4 linked regions of the Saccharomyces cerevisiae S288C genome follow. The gene in region 4 interacts genetically with the main gene of each other region. Each region holds a gene or a part of one and is shown on either strand. Other genes may lie near its edges. The genes, in order: GLR1, MCT1, LYS20 and PRB1.

The links.
Region 1: mutations in PRB1 (region 4) and GLR1 together harm fitness more than expected from each alone (negative genetic interaction), as found in Saccharomyces cerevisiae (2 studies listed by BioGRID).
Region 2: mutations in PRB1 (region 4) and MCT1 together harm fitness more than expected from each alone (negative genetic interaction), as found in Saccharomyces cerevisiae (2 studies listed by BioGRID).
Region 3: mutations in PRB1 (region 4) and LYS20 together harm fitness more than expected from each alone (negative genetic interaction), as found in Saccharomyces cerevisiae (2 studies listed by BioGRID).

Annotation. Positions count from the first base shown.
Region 1 is NC_001148.4:373,124-378,217, reverse strand, and holds GLR1 (glutathione-disulfide reductase GLR1), read right to left. Parts: upstream 2,717-5,094; coding exon 1,265-2,716; downstream 1-1,264. Other genes in the region: 40S ribosomal protein eS6 RPS6A, read left to right, coding at 223-927; SSU1 (Ssu1p), read right to left, coding at 3,049-4,425. UniProt on the Saccharomyces cerevisiae protein: Catalyzes the reduction of glutathione disulfide (GSSG) to reduced glutathione (GSH). Constitutes the major mechanism to maintain a high GSH:GSSG ratio in the cytosol.
Region 2 is NC_001147.6:755,234-759,977, reverse strand, and holds MCT1 ([acyl-carrier-protein] S-malonyltransferase), read left to right. Parts: upstream 1-2,419; coding exon 2,420-3,502; downstream 3,503-4,744. Other genes in the region: DSC3 (Dsc3p), read right to left, coding at 1-196; ODC2 (mitochondrial 2-oxodicarboxylate carrier), read right to left, coding at 725-1,648; RCN2 (Rcn2p), read right to left, coding at 3,853-4,650. UniProt on the Saccharomyces cerevisiae protein: Involved in biosynthesis of fatty acids in mitochondria.
Region 3 is NC_001136.10:130,707-135,675, reverse strand, and holds LYS20 (homocitrate synthase LYS20), read right to left. Parts: upstream 2,240-4,969; coding exon 953-2,239; downstream 1-952. Other genes in the region: INH1 (ATPase inhibitor), read right to left, coding at 240-497; MRX19 (Mrx19p), read left to right, coding at 3,843-4,805. UniProt on the Saccharomyces cerevisiae protein: Catalyzes the aldol-type condensation of 2-oxoglutarate with acetyl-CoA to yield homocitrate. Carries out the first step of the alpha-aminoadipate (AAA) lysine biosynthesis pathway.
Region 4 is NC_001137.3:38,518-44,015, forward strand, and holds PRB1 (proteinase B), read right to left. Parts: upstream 3,437-5,498; coding exon 1,529-3,436; downstream 1-1,528. Other genes in the region: kinesin motor protein CIN8, read right to left, coding at 1-1,020; SOM1 (Som1p), read right to left, coding at 3,883-4,107; HHY1 (Hhy1p), read left to right, coding at 4,135-4,443; phosphoacetylglucosamine mutase PCM1, read left to right, coding at 4,735-5,498. UniProt on the Saccharomyces cerevisiae protein: Vacuolar proteinase B involved in protein degradation in the vacuole. Among other substrates, acts on carboxypeptidase Y (cpY/PRC1) to activate it by processing its Pro-peptide.

The sequences.
Region 1 (5,094 bases), on a different chromosome or scaffold from region 4:
GGCGTTATTTTTAAACAAACAGAGCGGGTTTACATATACTGTTACTACAAACCGTGAAATTGAAGCAGTTCATATACTTGGAGTATAGTCAATAAAAGACAAGCTTTTTCATCTTCCACTTAATAATTTCTCTAGAGTAATAAACTTCACCCTATTCAAACATTAATTTTGCAATAGTATACTAACAAATTTTCTTAATAACCTGTTGAAAATTTAAAATAGTTGAACATTTCTTACCCAGTTAACGGGTCTCAAAAGACCTTCGAAATTGATGATGAACACCGTATTCGTGTTTTCTTCGACAAGAGAATCGGTCAAGAAGTCGATGGTGAAGCCGTTGGTGACGAATTCAAGGGTTACGTCTTCAAGATCTCTGGTGGTAACGACAAACAAGGTTTCCCAATGAAGCAAGGTGTTTTGTTGCCAACTAGAATCAAGTTGTTGTTGACCAAGAACGTTTCTTGTTACAGACCAAGACGTGATGGTGAAAGAAAGAGAAAGTCCGTCAGAGGTGCCATTGTTGGTCCAGATTTGGCTGTCTTGGCTTTGGTCATTGTCAAGAAGGGTGAGCAAGAATTGGAAGGTCTAACTGACACTACTGTTCCAAAGAGATTGGGTCCAAAGAGAGCTAACAACATCAGAAAGTTCTTCGGTTTGTCCAAGGAAGATGACGTTCGTGATTTCGTCATCAGAAGAGAAGTCACCAAGGGTGAAAAGACTTACACCAAGGCTCCAAAGATCCAAAGATTGGTTACTCCTCAAAGATTGCAAAGAAAGAGACACCAAAGAGCTTTGAAGGTCAGAAACGCTCAAGCTCAAAGAGAAGCTGCTGCCGAATACGCTCAATTGTTGGCTAAGAGATTGTCTGAAAGAAAGGCTGAGAAGGCTGAAATCAGAAAGAGAAGAGCTTCTTCTTTGAAGGCTTAAAGTTAGAAAGCAGTAAAAGATAAATTCTTTTGTTCAAAAACTCCTTTCTTATTCTGTATTTTGTGTATTTTTAAGCTTAAAATCAAATAACTTTATTTTTTATATAATTAACAAAAAGAAAAATAATCATATGTATTGTAAACGAGAGTCGGAATGTATCCTCAACTGAATATCCAAGCGAGTCCACAGTAGCTAATAGTCTGAAAAAAAAAGGAACCCTTGTCCTTGAACAGAAATGACAAAATTACTACGTATTTCAGGATGCTATATAAGATTGTTTACAAGAGTACAAAAGTCCAGTATAGCAACAGCAGATTGGACGTCTAGTTTCGTTGCTTCATCTCATAGTAACCAATTCTTCTGCGCTAGTCGGATGAATAGCAACACAATTATCGAAATCAGCCTTAGTGGCACCCATCTTTATAGCAACACCGAACCCTTGCAAGATTTCTGCAGAGGAATCACCAACAATGTGCAGACCGACAACCTTTTCATTTGGTCCCGCACAAACAATTTTATATCTTGTGGGTGATTTCTCACTCAACATAGCATAGTACATGGCGGTAAATTTGGAATTGTAGACCTTTATATTCTCCTTACCGTACTTTTCAATGGCTTCCTTCTCAGAAATACCAATGGAACCGGCTTCAGGATGTGAGAAAATTACGCTGGGGACGTTCTCGTAATCTAGTTTGTCATTACGGAATTTCTCTGGACCAAACAGTCTATTAGACAGCTTTCTGCCCGCTGCAATAGCGACAGGTGTCAATTCAACTTTTCCAACAACGTCACCTAGAGAATAAATGTTTGGAACATTGGTGTTCTGATATTCATCAGCAATTATTTGGTCATGAGAGTTCAGCTTTATACCTACATTTTCTGAACCCATACCTAGATGGGATTTACGTCCAATTGTCCAAATTAATTCGTCAACGTCATCGATGGACTTTGAGTCATTCATATGTATTTTCAGTTTGTCAGTTTCTACATTTTTCTCCACCTTAACAATTTTGGATAGTTTATGAACGTTGATGCCTTCCTTTACGTAATGGTCAGTAATAGTGTTCTGGATGCATTCATCAAATTTTCTCAAGACAGTTTCACCTCTAATTACCAAGTGCGTTTCGGATCCCAGCCCATGGAACACACCTGCTAGCTCAATACCAATATAACCAGCGCCAACAACAACAACTTTCTTAGGTTGTTCTTCCAATCTAAAGAACCCATCAGAATCAGTACCTAATTCGAAACCTGGAATGTTTTCGGGGAAAATAGCCTTTCCACCGGTCGCAACTAAAATATGGTTAGCGGAGTAAACTTCAGTAGTATTATCCCTTTTCTGAACTTCAACATTACCGTCCTTATTGAATCTAGCCCATCCAAATACAACATCCACTTTTTCTTTTTCTAAATTCTTCTGGTATATACCGTTCAACCTATGGACATAAGCATCCCTTTTCTGCTTAAATTCTGGCCAATTAAAAGTCAAATGCTCTTTATCTAATGGAAGATTCTGATATAATCCATATTCATTTGCATGGGATACTCTAGTAGCGAGGTCAGAAGCATACCACATGACTTTCTTCGGAACACAACCCACGTTAACACAGGTACCACCAAGAGCCTTAGCTTCAACTAGTAATGTCTTCGCACCATAAGATGCAGCTCTTCTTGCGGAAGCAACACCCCCTGAGCCACCCCCGATGACGAGGTAATCGTAATGCTTGGTGTTCGTGGACATAGTTCTTATCTGTAGACTTCTAAATGTTTGTTTGGTTGCAGAAAGCATAAAGTTCTGTAAACTAATATGTAAATAGATATATATACATATGAAGGAAAGCAGCAAAATATACTGAGAGTGAGAAGCGCATGAGAAAAACCAGAAGTGTTTCTTATACTTTTTTAGACTGATTTTAATAGTAGATTCCAAATGGAAAGCTCCGAAATCCTCGAAAAATTGACAAGGGTCGTGCTTACTAAGTGACGTCAAAAAATATCAGGCATAGTGAAAACCAACGTGAAGAAGCAAAAGCAGCAAAGCGCCGTGCAAATGAATTAAACTATCTATTGAGACTCCTACATGAAATGCTTGCCAATTATGTACGTATAAAACCAACAATTTTATGCTAAACGCGTAAAATCTAGAGCCGAGTTTGATTCTTCCACGCTTTCAATGCTGTTATACGGAGAAACTGTCGTCTTTTCCGTACCTGACTCTGAAAATAATGAAGATTTACGGGCAGCATGCAGCATCTTTTTAGAATACTCATGCAATGTGCATAAAAGGCATAGAATTGACCAACAAACGCAAACACCGCCGTATATGGTTCCTAGGACTCTAAATGCATATAAGGGAACGTACTGGTTATACTGCACATATAACTCTTCGTTTCCTAAAGACATAGTACCCATCGGGAAAGTCATCCCCCAAAAACCTTTGTGGAAGGTATAAACTCTCTTCACTTTTCCTGTCTCGTTTTCAATCTCTTTTTTATTGTAGTACGACAGGATTGAAACGACAGAAATCACGGTGAAAAAATAGCCCATAGCGAGCAATGCCATAGCAGAAACCATGCCTAGAATTTTGAAACACCATGGAACTGCAATAGTCAATATCTCTTGTTCTCTTGTAATGTTATCTGTTGGGTAATATTTGCCCGCATATTTTTTTATATTATCTGTAAGCAATAAGACTCCAAAACTTCCTTGGCCCATCGGGCCCAAAAGCAGGAATAAGGTGAAAACCTGTGTCATTGGTGGTATCTTATTAATATAAAGACTCCAGAAGTATATCGCAATCAGTATGAAGACGAAGATAATGGCATGCAGCCACGTTAAGGCACATATGACCAACGTTATCAGTTGAATGTTTCTATTAAACGCATGGAAGAATATTTCTGACATTGTGAATGTTCCACAACTTGAAGCGACGACAACCAGCGGAATGATATCCAGTAGCAATACACTTTTCATGTTTTCGGATGCCATTTTGATATTATATGAAGGATAATTCCCAATCCCTTCCAAAGGGTAATAGTCATGCCAGATGAGAAACGAGATACCCCACGCTATTACTAGACAGACTGCGAGATCATACCACCACAAGACGTAAACAAATATCATCAAATTTCTGGCATTAGTGGGGCTCTTCGTCGTGTTCGCTTTCGAGAGTGCTCCTAAGAAATTTATAATTGTAACTAACCCCATGGGATAAGTACCCCAAAATAAATTGTGCTTCATATTTCTGAAAAAGTCATTAAAATATTCTCTGAAGCTTTTCTCCTTAATATAGACAATCAAATGTAATATTTGTAGTGCCTGCACAGCAATGAAAATAAGGCAAGCGATAGCAAACATGATGTAGGAGCATATTCTTAGCCACCTTGCAGGATATGGGAAGCTATATAGAATATTCGATGAAATGCCGACACCCATGACCATCATAAACATGAAGGGGTCAAACTGCCTCGTAAGAGCAAGTACCCAATTGGCAACCATTTTTTTCTTGTACTTGTCTTCTCTTACACTATAAAACGTTTTTAAATTGCGCGTATTGTCTGAGCTCAATCAACAATCGTTACTAGGGGAAAGCTGTAATTTGTGTGTTGTCTAAATGCGGAGAATTTGTTCAGCCAATATCACAAGTTTCAACTTAACAAGACAAGGATTAGAAATAAGAACTACACGCTGGTTGGCTATTCTTTTAGAACCTCTAGTTAAATAGGTAAAATAAGCAAAGTGAGCAAAAATAAGCAAAAGAAGTCAAAGACAACCCCAATGTGCCAAAGACGGCGATGAGTCTTCTGTTTTTTAAGATTCATGCACTCTCAGATTTTCGGCTACAGACGCGGCACAAGGATGAAAAAAAAAAAATGATAGTTTGCAGGAATTTATCAGTCAATTGATGGGAGACATCGCTATTGTTGCCTTATACGATACACTGCAAAAACGATAACAATTTCTTATTTGTCAACCTCGTGGGAGACTCGATAGGTTGCATGATGATGTGTCACAAAAAAGTAGAAGTGTCATCTTGACGCTATCCCACCCCTTCTTTTTCCACATGCTTAATTATTTGTATACATCCAGTGACATACAAAAAAATAGTAGAACATGGAGGGGTCGGCTTGTTGGATAATTTAAATCGGTTTATTATTATTATACAGA
Region 2 (4,744 bases), on a different chromosome or scaffold from region 4:
GTTGGGGCCTCAATTCTCTACACATCCGACGTAGCCAGTGGGTATTTATATTCGAAAATGGTACATTTGATATGTTCAACTGCAGATCCCTTACTGATACGTCGGAAAACCGTATCACAATGAACTTCTGATCTGGGGACCTCACTTCCCCTCCCTGCGATCCGTTATGTGTGGGTAATAATGGTTCTGCGGACATAATTTTATCAATGTATGCTGCCTTTCACCTCTCTCTTTGCTTGGTTTATATCACAAGCGTCTTCTTTAATAACTCAAGGGACCCTAATACGCCGTTCTTTATATTCAACTCCGGGTAATGGAGATAGTATATATATATTTTTTTTTCCTCCCAGTGCAACTATAAAAAGAGATGAAGAATTTCTAAAGAGTACTACCTCGGTTTTACTTCTTGTATATTTACTCTTTTTATTTCAAATTTTAAAAAAAAACCATACAAAATTAATCGTGCGGATTAATAATCCAGGACTATAAAACCGTGTTGTTTATATCGAGTCTCTTTTGGTATAAGCGTCAAGTCCATCGGAGAGATCATCATTTTGTTCATCTTAATGCCCTTTTGTGTAGGAAATTGAGGGAAGTTTAGGCTTCTCAACATTTTAAGACGCCTATGCAAGGGCTGGTAGGACAGACATGCTATTCTTATTTTGACGTAGAAATAACGTAGTTAAGATTGAAGAGGAAAGAGGTATTCTATATACAATAAATATCAGTGTCCGTACTTCAGATCCCTGAAAAAGTTCATCATACCGGTAAAAACCACCAACATTAATGAACCACCGGGTGCTAGTCTACATACTTTGGGGACGAAACCTTTGTACAATGCTCTGAAGCCTTCTTCACGGTATATGACCAATAGCGAAGGTAGGCACCAGTTGTATTTTTTAACAGCACTGCTGACCGCGTCCACACTTTGGATTCTGGATTTCACCACGTCAAAGGGAGTGTTAAGCATGGTCCCGACCGTACCACCGATCGCACCTGCAATAAGGTCATTTCTGGTCTTTTGTCCCTTTGTCTTTGCTACGGGCATGGAATTTCTCACTTGGTAGATAACACCGAAGTAGCCACCATTCCAAAGAGCGTTTCTCCACATGGTAGATTCGATACCCTTGTATAGCCCCATAATACCTTCGTTTTTGATTGTTTTTTTCAAACAGTCCATTGGTCCAAGATAGCTGGACTTGACGTCTTGCATCCTGATTTTGATCAATTCAAATGGAACAATAACTGCAGCTTCTGTCATACCAGCAGATGCACCAGCCGCAATGGAGATCTTCTGCGTAGTTTCATTCGTGTTGAATAGGTTTTTGAAGATTTTTTGATATTGATCGTTACATGCAAATTTGGTGGCTCTCTTTGGTGCTTCCATCAACATTGGTGAACTAATACCTCTGTAAAGTCTGCTAAACCCTTCCTTCTTTACAATTTTTTTCAAACAATCGATGACACCATTATATCTCTCTACTTGCTTTCCTACTGCAGCGGCAGTAGGCGTCGTCACCTCCAGTTGAAATCTTGTCTTAACAACATCAAGCGGATACATAACAGTTAACTCAGAAATACCGGCGACGGCACCTGATATGAACTGATATATAAAAGGCAATGGCTTTGCGTTTGAGTCTGATGACATATTACTTTGATGCTACCTCGAATTACTTGACTATATAGAATCTAACCCAGTAAAAAAGTGCAGAAGAGCTTCAGACTGAAAAAACGAAGAGAACGTTTTATAACAGAATTACTTGCAAATGCATGTCGAGTCGAAAGTGATCGCGACTGCACTGAGTCATCAACAACAAGATCTTTCGAGATAGACAGGCAAAAAAAGCTCACCACGAAAAAACTGAAAAAAAAAAAGTTCCAGAGGAATTTGCCTGGCATAGAATAATAGCATTCGTAGTACCACTATTTCATGTTAGAAATGCACAAGCAATTGAATGTCAACGACAGAAGAGGACTAAGTAGTATGCAGAAGAACTAGAACTCCTATCTGAGAAGAACTAATTGGTCAACCATGTCTCATTGTCCTTACATTTGATAAATGCCGATCTTCTAAAACAGTAAACACACGTTAGCATCGCCTTGTGTTAACGAAGTAAAAAGGCTTGCTAAACCGAAAGTACACAATATGCTTGTCTTGAGAAAGTTGGAAGAAAATTATAGGCCCTTAAATATACTCAAAATGCAGAAAGTGTCATCTTCTTACATGGCATTTTTTGGCCGTATGACAAGGCGCATTTCAACCTCCGATGGAGGAAGTAAACTGAGTATCGAACTCAAGGGTAAAACAAAGCTTACCAGTAACTTGCTGCATATTAGAACTATTCAATAACGTACACTGAGGGTAGTAACAAAGCGTTTTGCACTTTTCTGATCGTGGTACACATATATAAGCGTTTGTATGAAGCTACTAACCTTCCCAGGTCAAGGGACCTCCATCTCCATTTCGATATTAAAAGCGATAATAAGAAACAAATCAAGAGAATTCCAAACAATACTGAGTCAGAACGGCAAGGAATCAAATGATCTATTGCAGTACATCTTCCAGAACCCTTCCAGCCCCGGAAGCATTGCAGTCTGCTCCAACCTTTTCTATCAATTGTACCAGATACTCTCGAATCCTTCTGATCCTCAAGATCAAGCACCAAAAAATATGACTAAGATCGATTCCCCCGACAAGAAAGACAATGAACAATGTTACCTTTTGGGTCACTCGCTAGGCGAGTTAACATGTCTGAGTGTTAATTCACTGTTTTCGTTAAAGGATCTTTTTGATATTGCTAATTTTAGAAATAAGTTAATGGTAACATCTACTGAAAAGTACTTAGTAGCCCACAATATCAACAGATCCAACAAATTTGAAATGTGGGCACTCTCTTCTCCGAGGGCCACAGATTTACCGCAAGAAGTGCAAAAACTACTAAATTCCCCTAATTTATTATCATCTTCACAAAATACCATTTCTGTAGCAAATGCAAATTCAGTAAAGCAATGTGTAGTCACCGGTCTGGTTGATGATTTAGAGTCCTTAAGAACAGAATTGAACTTAAGGTTCCCGCGTTTAAGAATTACAGAATTAACTAACCCATACAACATCCCCTTCCATAATAGCACTGTGTTGAGGCCCGTTCAGGAACCACTCTATGACTACATTTGGGATATATTAAAGAAAAACGGAACTCACACGTTGATGGAGTTGAACCATCCAATAATAGCTAACTTAGATGGTAATATATCTTACTATATTCATCATGCCCTAGATAGATTCGTTAAGTGTTCAAGCAGGACTGTGCAATTCACCATGTGTTATGATACCATAAACTCTGGAACCCCAGTGGAAATTGATAAGAGTATTTGCTTTGGCCCGGGCAATGTGATTTATAACCTTATTCGGAGAAATTGTCCCCAAGTGGACACTATAGAATACACCTCTTTAGCAACTATAGACGCTTATCACAAGGCGGCAGAGGAGAACAAAGATTGAGAAAGAGATCAAAACTGCGAACTCTCTCCACTCCCAGTCTGTGCTTCTACGCATTCATTGAAAATGGAAAGAGGACGAAAGTGTGCAAAAAATTAGCCAACTTCCCTTTATATAAATATCGTATACACATACATACATTCCTTCTATACTAATCGCTCTTGGATACACTAAAACAAATCCCTAATGCAAACATACATGTTATTATGCCATACAAAGTAAACACGCAAGTATATAAACGTATAAATGGATATATAGATATCTCTACGCATATTCTTTACATTATCATAGCATGAACCTTTTTCCCTTTTTCTGCTTTGTCTAATTTATAGTATTAGTTATGCTCTAGTGCTCTAATGGAAAAACTCGTTAACCGTTATGCTTGGACTTTTTGGAGGATTTGAGGCAGTAGCGTTTACATCATTTTCGGTACACGATGCAGCATTACTTCTAGTAGAAGTATCAATGGTCAATCCTAGTGGCTTAGAGGCGAAAAGGCATTTGGTGCCTGACGCTGACTTATCCTTATTTTCTAGTTGTGAAGGTAATGATGTCTGTGAACTTCTGTTCAATGAGAGGTTCGAAGTTGAAGAAGACGACCTAGAAAGCTTTGGTAGCGGTTCTTGGTAACTAAATGGCTTTGAATCCGTCGAAAGCTTCAACATTGTGGGCGATTCTAGAGATGATTTATCCGGAGATAATGAAGAGCCTCCCTTATTGAGGGATGAACTGTCTACTCCAGTGACTCCTGGATCTGTATTAATAGATAAGAGCGGTTTGTTGCGATGATCCTCCAAAAGTGCCAAGTTATTATCTTGCAACGAAACAGCATCATCCGTGGAACGAGATCGCGGATGTTGATTATTTAAAAGGGACTCAGTTACAAATAACTTCATCGGACCGCTATTCTCCTTAGCTAACAATTCCTGTAAGAACTTAAACACTTGCAGCGTGTCATCTTCATTATCAAATATGATTATAATTCTGTTTAAAAATGGCAACGGCGTGTAATACTGCAAGTGACTTTGTAAATTTGGAAATTGCTCCTTGAATAAAGTTTTTTCCAGTTGTGTAGGCCATTTACTAGTAAATTTGCCACTAGGAATGTCCGTGATTAGTATTTGAGTTCTCATTTGCTTTTGGTTTGCCATAATTCCCGATTTTCTAACGCTAATGTATCTTTTTTTGGTTTTTGATTGCTACCATTATATGCTTTTGTAGCATCAAGGTATATAGTATAAGCCT
Region 3 (4,969 bases), on a different chromosome or scaffold from region 4:
TTCCTATCTTTCTATGCCTTTCCGCATTGGGACGAACTTTGCGCGAAGTGGAAATAATGAGTGACATTAGTCAGACAGACAAGAGGAAAATTCAAACCAGAGGAAAACTAGAATGATAGTTATCGAAAATGCAAAAGCTCAGTGTGATGTATTATTATATAGTTTTTCTGCTGTTTGACTATAAAAGAGTAAGAATATTCTAAAAAAAAAAAAAAAAAAGCTTCTGCGGAAACGCATGATTATTTGGTCATCGAGTCAATTTTATTTTCCAAAGAATCAATCTTCTTTCGTTGTTTTTCCAGTTGTTCTTTCAAATGGCGTAGTTGCTCCTTCTCACGCTGCCTAACGAAGAAGTCTTCCGTGGCCCTTTCCCTTTTAACAAACGAATCCTCTGAGCCTGACCCTCTTGGGGTGCCGGTAGAACCTTCAGAGTAGAACCTTGCGGCCACACCGCGCTGTAATTGCAATGAGCGTGCTAATGCTGAACGTGGTAACATATTCTATTGTGGAACTGTATAAAAGTGTGCTGTAGTAATGCGTGTAAAATGCACTCCTTTGGGATAGCAAAAACAAATTCAACCACGAACAAATTCAAAGAAAGTTTTAAACAAGATACAACAAGTCAAGTTATGAACCCCTCCTTCTCTAACGATTGTTAACGCCTTTTCTAGCCCCAAAACCTCGTTGCAGTGGAAAACGATGGGTGTCAGCAACTAGACAGTTGATTGGCATAATTGTGAATATCTGGATATTTGGTACCCGCAGCAGCCTCCCCTTATTCTGCCGCGAATGCGCGCGTCTGATTGGCCCGGCATCACGGGAGAGTAAATCTTCTTCTTTTAATGCGTATCGGACAAAGTAGATGGGAAAAAACATCATTTAGATATGTAGATGTAGATGCTATATATCGTATGTAATAAGTGAAAGAACATAATGTAATGGTTTGGGAACGTTAGGCGGATGGCTTAGTCCGCTTGGCGGCGGGGATGGTGGCCAGTTCCGGTACATCGCTGTCATTCTTCTTGTTCTTTTTTGCAGATAGTACTTGAGGAGTGCTGACCTCTGCGTGGAAGTTCTTGATGATAGAGTCAACATCATCGATATTCAGCGATCTGACATCACCCAGCTTCTTAATCTTAGCAGTAACTTCCTTGATTTGGTCATCCGTCAAGTTCAAGTTCAACTGGTCGACTCTGGCTTTGATGGCGTTCCAGCCAGTTAGTCTGTTGGCGAAGTGGATATACCTCTTCATACCGAAATCGTGAGGGTCCAAGATTTCGTAGGTAGATGGGTTAGCCAAAATGGCCTTGGCATGGATACCTGCTTTATGTGTGAATGCACAGAACCCGGTGATAGGGTTGTTGAATGGAATGTTAACTTCCACAGCATCAGCGACCAGGTTTTCAATGTCTCTGATCTTGTGCAACTTGTATTTGGACTTGACATAGTCTGGTGCGGCAACAATCATTCTTGCCATGAGCCCACCTAGAGGAGTGATACCGTTTCTTTCACCAATACCCAGTACACTGACGTCAATCAATCTGGCACCACCTTCCAAAGCAGTGTAGGCGTTTGCAATGGCACAACCAGTATCGTTGTGGAAATGGCATTCGATGTCACATGAAACAACACTCTTCAAAGTTCTGATCAGTTCATATACTTGTCTTGGGTTGGCACATCCAACTGTGTCGGCAATACCGACTCTATTTACACCGATCTTGTCAACGGTTTTATAAATGTTCAAAAGATCAACGAGATCACTTCTGAAGGAATCTTCAGAGGAAAATCTGATTTCAATACCTTTGGATTTGACAAATTCAATGACTTCAACAGCACTCTTGGCGATGTAGTTCATATCCTTACCGTGGGAATATTGTCTTAAAAATTTGGAGGTGCCGATAACGACATCGACACCGTCGACACCAGTCTCTACGGCGACTTTGGCGTCATCCATATGACAACGAATGTGTGTAAGGATCTTGGCCTTTAAACCTAGTTTACATATAGCTTCACAGTCCTTTCTTGATTGTTCAGATGCTACTGGTGAGGTTAACTCGATGTAGTCCACACCGAAATCGTCCAAGGCTCTAGCAATTTCGATCTTTTTTTCAGTATCGAAGAATGCGTTGGCAAATTGTTCACCTTCTCTCAGCGTCGAATCGATTAACTGGAAATTATTTACATTAGAAAGATAGTCGCCCGGTTTGGCAGCATATGGATTTGGTTTAGCAGCAGTCATCTTTAGGAAAACAATACAGGGTCCTTCCTTTGTTTGTTATGTAGATAAGAAACAAGAATAAACTAAACGGGAACATATCAAATACACTTTATCGATAAGCAGCCAATATCATTTATATATATCATCATCGGGTATTTAAGCAGGTGTAAAAAATGGCCAGCGATGAGGCCCTTAAAACTTGGTAATAATATTACTCACGCATCATCGTCAGCAAGAACCTAAAGCGCAAATTAAATTATTGCCTATTGCTCTAATGTCGTCGTCGTCCACTACCGAAGAGAAAATTCCCCAGCAATTTTGGTCATATTTTTCAACCATGAATAAGGGATAGTGGGACAAGGCCAGGCCATTGTGACATTACTCATTTTTTTGCCACTTGCAACGCTAGTAACGCCGTATCCACAGAGAAACCGGGAGTGGCGCGAAGAGATCTTTTTTTTCTTTTACTACGTGTGATCCTCTAAAGAATTCTTTTTCTCAACCTAGCAAAGTAACCCACGCTTAAACTTCCTTGCAGAGAGTTCCCGTCGGAATTTGTTTTTTTCTTACTAAAACTACGCAATATTCCGGCGGAATTTGACGCAGACGTAACATCAGTCATCAGTTAATTTAGAATAACGATGAGCCAGCTGATCGGGTACTGTGGACGGAGTTTATAAGGAAGAGAAAATGCTGAGTGCATTAGTCATAAGAGAGGAGCGTGATCTGTAATTCCCTCTGCCTGTGCGGATCACTTCCTACAATTTATTTTGTAAAAGAGAGCACGTCTGTAGTTTCAAACAAAATCACCAACTGTGCTTTGTTCGAATACCCAGGGAACTGTTTGTTCGTCGAATCGAGATAATAGCAAACAAGAGTCTCGGTTGAGTAAACGCTCATAGACAAGAAACTAGGAACATGGCTAAAATCTTGCATCGATGTAACATTAATATAAATAGTTTGCAGCAACCGATTTACACAAAAACTGAATCTCAAGCGCACGCAGTATACCAAATTTGGTTCCTAGAGTTTTTTATATGGGCGGCTAACCTTGGAGAGATCAAAAAAGTGTACTTAACTACGAATGACATTTTAGAGGGTTTCAAGCGTATTATAATGAGATAATCTTTCAGCTGGTAGCAATTATGGTCTAATAATTTTTCGTTTATTCGGCCCTCAACCATTTGTTGAGCTTATACCGATTTAGAGCCCATAAAACGTCGTGATAATCCGCAACTTCCACGCTACCACTTTCCACCATCTATCAAAAAAAATAAGAAAATTACCATGTGTAACAGCTCCTTCCATAATTTGAAGCAGGCTGTGTTTATTCAGTTCTTCGTTTGTTTTTCTTACTTCAACGCTCCTTGTTCGATAGCTTTATTTTCTTGTTTTTCCTCCACTTTTGGATGGATGGACTTGACGGCTGTCTCCGCCGGGGAGTAAGCATCGGGCATTGTGCCAAGATAGTATCTAAAGGGTGTGCTATCTGGCACAGTTTCAGTTACTAGTTAGCCATGAAATTTTTCCTTTTCAACGTAGCAGTATCCATATCATTGCTCTTCATCGATAGAATCATTTTATCACAATACCAAAACTTCATCCGGTGTATTTTAGATTAAAGATGATACGTTCAATATTTATACCGCCAACTAGTATAACTGCCACTTCTCGACTGTTCTACGGAATGAGGGCGTATTCAACAAAACTTGAAAAGGCTTCACTCCAAAAATATCTGCATGATCCTGTTAAAGTGACTGTGATACCAATAACGGACAAAGAATCATTCATTTACTATAAGCATACCGATAATCTCTTTAATAGTCAGTCTAGAATATTAAAAGCAGAAAAGTGGATCGTTGAGAAATCAGCAAAGCTTTGGAGAAAACTGAAAAAGTCCCCTAAATCGTATAATAAAAAAATAGTGTCCATGGTGCAGTCTCTGTTAAATAGCACACCCTGGTCAGAAAATAGTCTGTTAACCATACCAAGTGAAAGCTATATATTGAAGAGAATTAAGGGAGAGAAAGATAAGACCCAAGAGATTCGACTCACATTGAAAGATTATACCGTAAAGGCAGAACAGGTCGATACTCAACCCTTACACGTGTATTATCCCCCTGGAATTTCTAGCCCTGATGAGTGCTTGAGACAAATGAAAAAGCTCTACCAAGAAGGCTTAATTTATCACAAAAAATGGACTTTATATTGCCTTTTAGGTCTCCCGCTGACAATTCCTCTAATTTTAATACCGCTTATACCAAATGTTCCAGGGTTCTACCTATCTTATAGAGCTTATGTTAATATCAAAGCTTACCTTGGTGCTAAGCACTTGAAGAGTCTACTGGAAAGTTCAAAACAAAATTTAGAATTCAGGGAACTGTTGGGATATACGGAAGTATATAAACGTGGGACCAGCAGCCGTACGCAGGGCAATCAAAAGGAATCAAAAGGTGCACCAGAATTACTACTTAACAAGAAAACCCTTCCGTTGATCTTAGATTTCTTAGAGGTTCATGAACTAGAAAGCGACTTGAACAAAGTCATCCTTCAAGAATCGAAATCTCAAGAGAAAAACAAAATTTAATGTAGATTGTCCACTATCTCATGTAAATATACATAACAGGTATTCCTGAGCGTTCGAAAATTAGACTGTACTTTTCTGATGCGCTCCCGTACACCTTTGACATATACAAACATCCGCACATTTTATAGCTTTCTTTCTAGAATTTTTTCCACGCGCTCTCGATC
Region 4 (5,498 bases):
TAAGCCTTTTTGTAATAGGTTTAGCCCCTCCATAGCATTTGTTATGTGAAATTCTTGCAAATTCTGGATGTATATACCATTAGTTTGGTCATTTGGAGCCATCGAACTTCTTTGACCGTTATTTGTGTTGGTGTTACTAGAAGCATTATTAGTGGTAGAGCCAGAGTTAGAGGAAGAGTTGTTCCTGGAATTCACTGCCTGTTGTTGTTGATACTGTTGCTTGATGGTATTCGGCAGTGATTTTGTCCTTAACCTTTTTCTTAATAGAGCAGCTTTAGGTGTTAGATCATTTAATGACCTCGGAGAACTGTTCCTAGAATTACTCCTGGAACTACTAGCACTGTTGCTAGTGGTATTATTTGCTGTGCTTGAATCAAAAATCCTCAATTTTTTCATAAATTGGCCGTCAAAGCCAGTATTACTAGAGCCGTTGCTATTGCTGTCCAAGAGGTCCTTCAATTCTTCGTTGTAGAGTTCAATGAACGAACATTTTACTACGTAATCGTTCTGTTGTAGTTCCAATGTGTCAAACAACTTCAAAAGAACCCTCGGTATAATTCCTGCTGCATCGCTCAATTCACCATTATATAACTTTTCGTCGCCCGTCATTGTATATGTTTTACCTGTTGACGTCATACCATATACCAGTACGGTGCAATTGTAACCTTTAATGAAATCCTGGAATAATGGGCCCGCCACTTCATCAAAAATTAGATCCTGGGAAGCGCCGGGACCGAAGACTTTGTCCACTGTGTATCTCTTGGCATTCATTTGAGCAGTTATACCGGTATCTCCCGTCGTGTTAATGGAAATTTCTTTAGAACCTGTAATATCTGGAACATTTACCACAACGGAGCTTTTCATACTAATTTCCCTTTCATTCCTTCCTCTGCATCGCACAGCTACAGTGATGTTCAGTTCCTCATTAGGAACAGTGTGACATCCAACCTGAGAGTTGCCATTTTTACTGATGCTGTTGGAGCTTCTATCTTGACCCGTATTTTGGTTTTCCGCTGGCATCAAACAAATTCTTTCTTGTTGTATTTTTTGCGCTTTTATATACTTTTTATTACTTTTTCCTTTGAATTGCTTGCTTCTGTATCTATACTCAACGTTACTTTCTGGCCATACCATAAGTTCTACACCCGCTGTTGAGAAGCGGGTCACAAAGGAAGTCTTTAGATGATGTTATTGTTGCGGCCTTGTTTGTTTGTTTTGTTTATTTCGCGTACCTAATACATCGTCACCACACACGAAAACGAAAACATTTGATCAGATAAGTGATCTGCAAATAAGATATAATAAAAGTAACAGTTATTTATTTAATTAAAAACGCAAATATGTAGTAATACGTGGGACATATAAATTTCATGAATTAAAAAAAAAAAATGAAATTCAGATTGAAAATAATGGGGATATAAAAAAAGTGGACAAACGATAGTGAAGAGGGACTCCGACTTGTAACCTCGAGACGCCTAAGGAAAGAAAAAGAAAAAAAAAAGCAGCTGAAATTTTTCTAAATGAAGAATTAAATAATATTCAATTTATCAAGAATATCTCTCACTTGATCAAAGATTAAATCGGTCTTTGATCCAATGAATTCATCCATGTTCAATTCTTGCTTGAAACCAGATGAATGGGACTTTTTGGTATCATTCCAGAAAGCGGACAAATCTTGACCACCACCGTTGTAGATTAAAACATTTGGAGTGTCTTCAGGGATATCGAACAAAATGTCCTTTGTACTGTAATGAATTAGCTTCTTTTTCAATTGCTGAGGAGTCAAAGAATCCTGGCCCAATTCGAAAAATTCACTATCAGAACCTGGTTGCAAAGACAAAAAGTAGGTCAACAAACCAGCAACGTGAGGGGAAGCCATTGAGGTACCCGATAAAGTGGCGGTGGCGTCATCACTTCCAATGTAGGTGGACAAAATGTTTAAACCTGGGGCGAAAACGTCGACACACTTACCCCAGTTGGAAAAGTAGGCTCTGTCATCGCTCAACGTGGAAGCTCCGACGGTGATGGCCTTGTCAGCAGAAGCTGGGGAGGTATTACAAGCGTCTTGGTTTTCGTTACCAGCAGCCACGGCAAAGTGAATACCGACTTCAACGGCTGCATTAACAGCCAAGTCCAAAGCTGGGGACTTGCCACCACCAAGCGACATATTGGCTGTGGAACCTTTGAACCCCTTTTTCTTTTCTTGGGCTTCTTTTTGGTGCGCCTTTGCGGCATATTCGACACCTTTGACGACATCAGACATGGTACCAGACCCGTTTGATCTCAAGACTTTCACCGCAACAACGTTGGCATTTTTAGCGACACCGTAGTGTTTGGAAGCGATAGTACCGGCACAGTGGGTACCGTGGCCGTTACCGTCGAGATCTTCGTCGTTAAGTGGGATGGTTTTCCCCCAAATGGCTCTCTTTTCGAAGTCCTTGTGGTTGATGTTGACACCCGTGTCAATAACATAGGACGTGACACCGCGACCGGCATCATCATCGTAGAGATACTTGTTGAAGGACCCCAGGTTGAGGCGCTCTCTGTGGGAAATACGGGCCAACCCCCATGGGGCGCTATTTTGAGTGTCAAATTCTGTAGCCTCGACAATAGAGTCTCTCTCAACAAAGTCTACTAATGGGTTTTGACGTATCAAGTCGACAATCTCTTGGGTGAAGTAACCGATGTAACCGGAGAAAAGATTATCGATGTTGAATGAGTCCTGGATACCGCCAGCCTCAGAGGTGGACAAGGAGGTGTCTTTAGTAGAAATGAAGAAAGCGTCTTCGGCAGATAAGTTCTCTACGGATTGAAGTTGTGCCTGCTGGACGTTTTCCTTGTGGAAATCGATCTCTTCTTGAGGGGCACCTCTCTTGAAGACTATAATGTAGCGGTTGGGGATGATCTTGGAGATCGCGTCTGGGTTGAATTGTGCAGTGGACACGAGAGGAGCCAGCCTGTTGTGGTGCCTCCCTTTCTCCAACGTCTTTTCGTGGTGCTTCTTGCCCTTGACTTTCTTACCTTTCATCTTCTTCTCCTCCACCTTATTTTCGTGGCAGCCACCCTTATGGTGAGGCTTCTTCTTCTTATCATCATTATCATCATCATTGGAACTTTCATGCTTAGGCTTCATGCCCTTTCCTCCCTCGTGGGCGCTCCCATGAGAGCCACTTGCACGTTTACCGTTGAATTCCGGAGACTCCTTGTCTTGGCCCTTGCGGCCCTTCTTATGGAACTTTCCATGTTCTTTATCTTCAGAGTCAGATGGCTCCTCATCATCGTCCTTAGTGAATTCCACTTTTCTGGGTCTCTCGTGGTGATCTTCCTTGTTAATCAGTTCGTGGTGGTCGGCGGCATTTTCAAGATTTGGGATGACCAAAGCAGCAGAGATGCTCCCTAGGGCACCGAGTGTAAATAGAGTATTTTCTAACTTCATCTTTGCTTGTTAGAATTAGGTTTAGTTTGTTTTTTTATTGGCGATGAAGCTAATTGGACTCTTAAGTTTGTATGGGAAGAACTCCAATATAACGGGACGTAACATTGGCCCCCTTTTATATTCATCGCGCTCTTTATCGCGGGTGTGTTTGCCCCCGCCACTCCCGCAGTCCTGGCGTGATAAGCCACTGCAGTGGCATTACTGAGCCCAAATTTTGCTTTTTCAACAAGTCACCTAAATTTCCAAAGCCGAAAGCCCTGCTACTCTGCTAACCCGGAGCGTTTAAAGTCCACGGACATTTCCCAGCCCTCGTTTTTTCTCCTCCCGGGACCCCGGGCATAAGTGCATAGTAGGCACAGACCTGATCTGTCGGGTGCAGTTTAAAAAAGTCTTGGCAAAATTTTTTATTTATCACACTACTGTGCTATATAGAGTATATGTAATTTTTAACTATTGGTATATGTGTCCGTGACCTCGTAGTTAGTGGCTGATTTGTCGGGTGCAATGCAGTGTTCAAAAAGCCTCTTAAAAGGCGAGCAGACGTATTCGGCTCCTTTGAATTGGCACTCCCATTGCACAAGCTCTTTCAGCCGGCAGTTGGTTTGTGAGTCAAGCGTTGCTAACGGTGCGAGCGCTTGGTCCCTAGTGCGGATGGTGGTTGGAGGCGCCATGAGGGTTGATTGTCTTATCTGCGATAGATGAGTCTTTCTTTCCTTCTCTTTTCCCCTTTTCTCCCCCCCTGTTTCTCGTCCATCTCTATCTGTCTATCTGTCTTATCTACTGTTAGTTTTTTTTTCGCTTTCACGATACCGCATTACGTACTGCGCTGCGGAAGTGTGGATGAGTGGCATATACACTCTTCTGCAGAGGATTTTCGTACACAACGGTGTGTGTGTGCTGTGAAGCTGTCTGCTTCCTTACTTGGCTGTTTGCTTGCTTGTGCGTCATGGTCACTTTTGTTAGAAGTGAGCCGCATAAAATGGCATGTCGGCACAGCCTACAGTTAAAAATTAAGCATATCTGACTGTTTATCTGTTTATCTGTTTATACACGGTGAACTGTCACGAGAACCCTTACTTGCACGATTAGCAGATTGTTCAGAGAGCCTCGCTCGTTGAAGTTCTTCTATATGCCAGCGTGTTTCATGTAGCAGGAAACGTTGCTCTATTTATATCTTTTCTGACATTTTGCGTCGTCGGGAAAAAAAAGATTAAGTAAGAACAAAAAACCGTTAATGGTTTCAGCAATCGAGACAAGTACAAGGACCAAGGCAAAGGTCAGCAGTAAGCTTAGAGACGATGAAGGTTGATTACGAGCAATTGTGCAAACTCTACGATGACACGTGCCGCACAAAGAATGTGCAGTTCAGTTACGGTACGGCCGGATTCAGAACGCTGGCCAAGAATTTGGATACGGTGATGTTCAGTACTGGTATACTGGCGGTTCTCAGGTCGCTGAAGCTTCAGGGTCAGTATGTGGGGGTGATGATCACGGCGTCGCACAACCCATACCAGGACAACGGGGTCAAGATCGTGGAACCAGACGGATCGATGCTTTTGGCCACATGGGAGCCATATGCCATGCAGTTGGCCAATGCGGCCTCTTTTGCCACTAATTTTGAAGAATTTCGTGTTGAGTTGGCCAAGCTGATTGAACACGAAAAGATTGATTTGAATACAACCGTCGTGCCTCACATCGTGGTTGGGAGAGACTCTAGGGAAAGTAGTCCATACTTGCTGCGCTGCTTGACTTCCTCCATGGCCAGCGTCTTCCACGCGCAAGTTTTGGACCTAGGCTGTGTCACTACGCCTCAATTGCATTACATTACTGATTTGTCCAACAGGCGGAAACTGGAAGGAGACACAGCGCCAGTTGCCACAGAACAGGACTACTATTCGTTCTTTATAGGAGCCTTCAACGAGCTCTTCGCCACGTATCAGCTGGAGAAGAGGCTGTCTGTCCCAAAATTGTTCATAGACACAGCCAATGGTATCGGTGGTCCACAGTTGAAAAAACTACTGGCCTCCGAAGATTGGGACGTGCCAGCGGAGCAAGTTGAGGT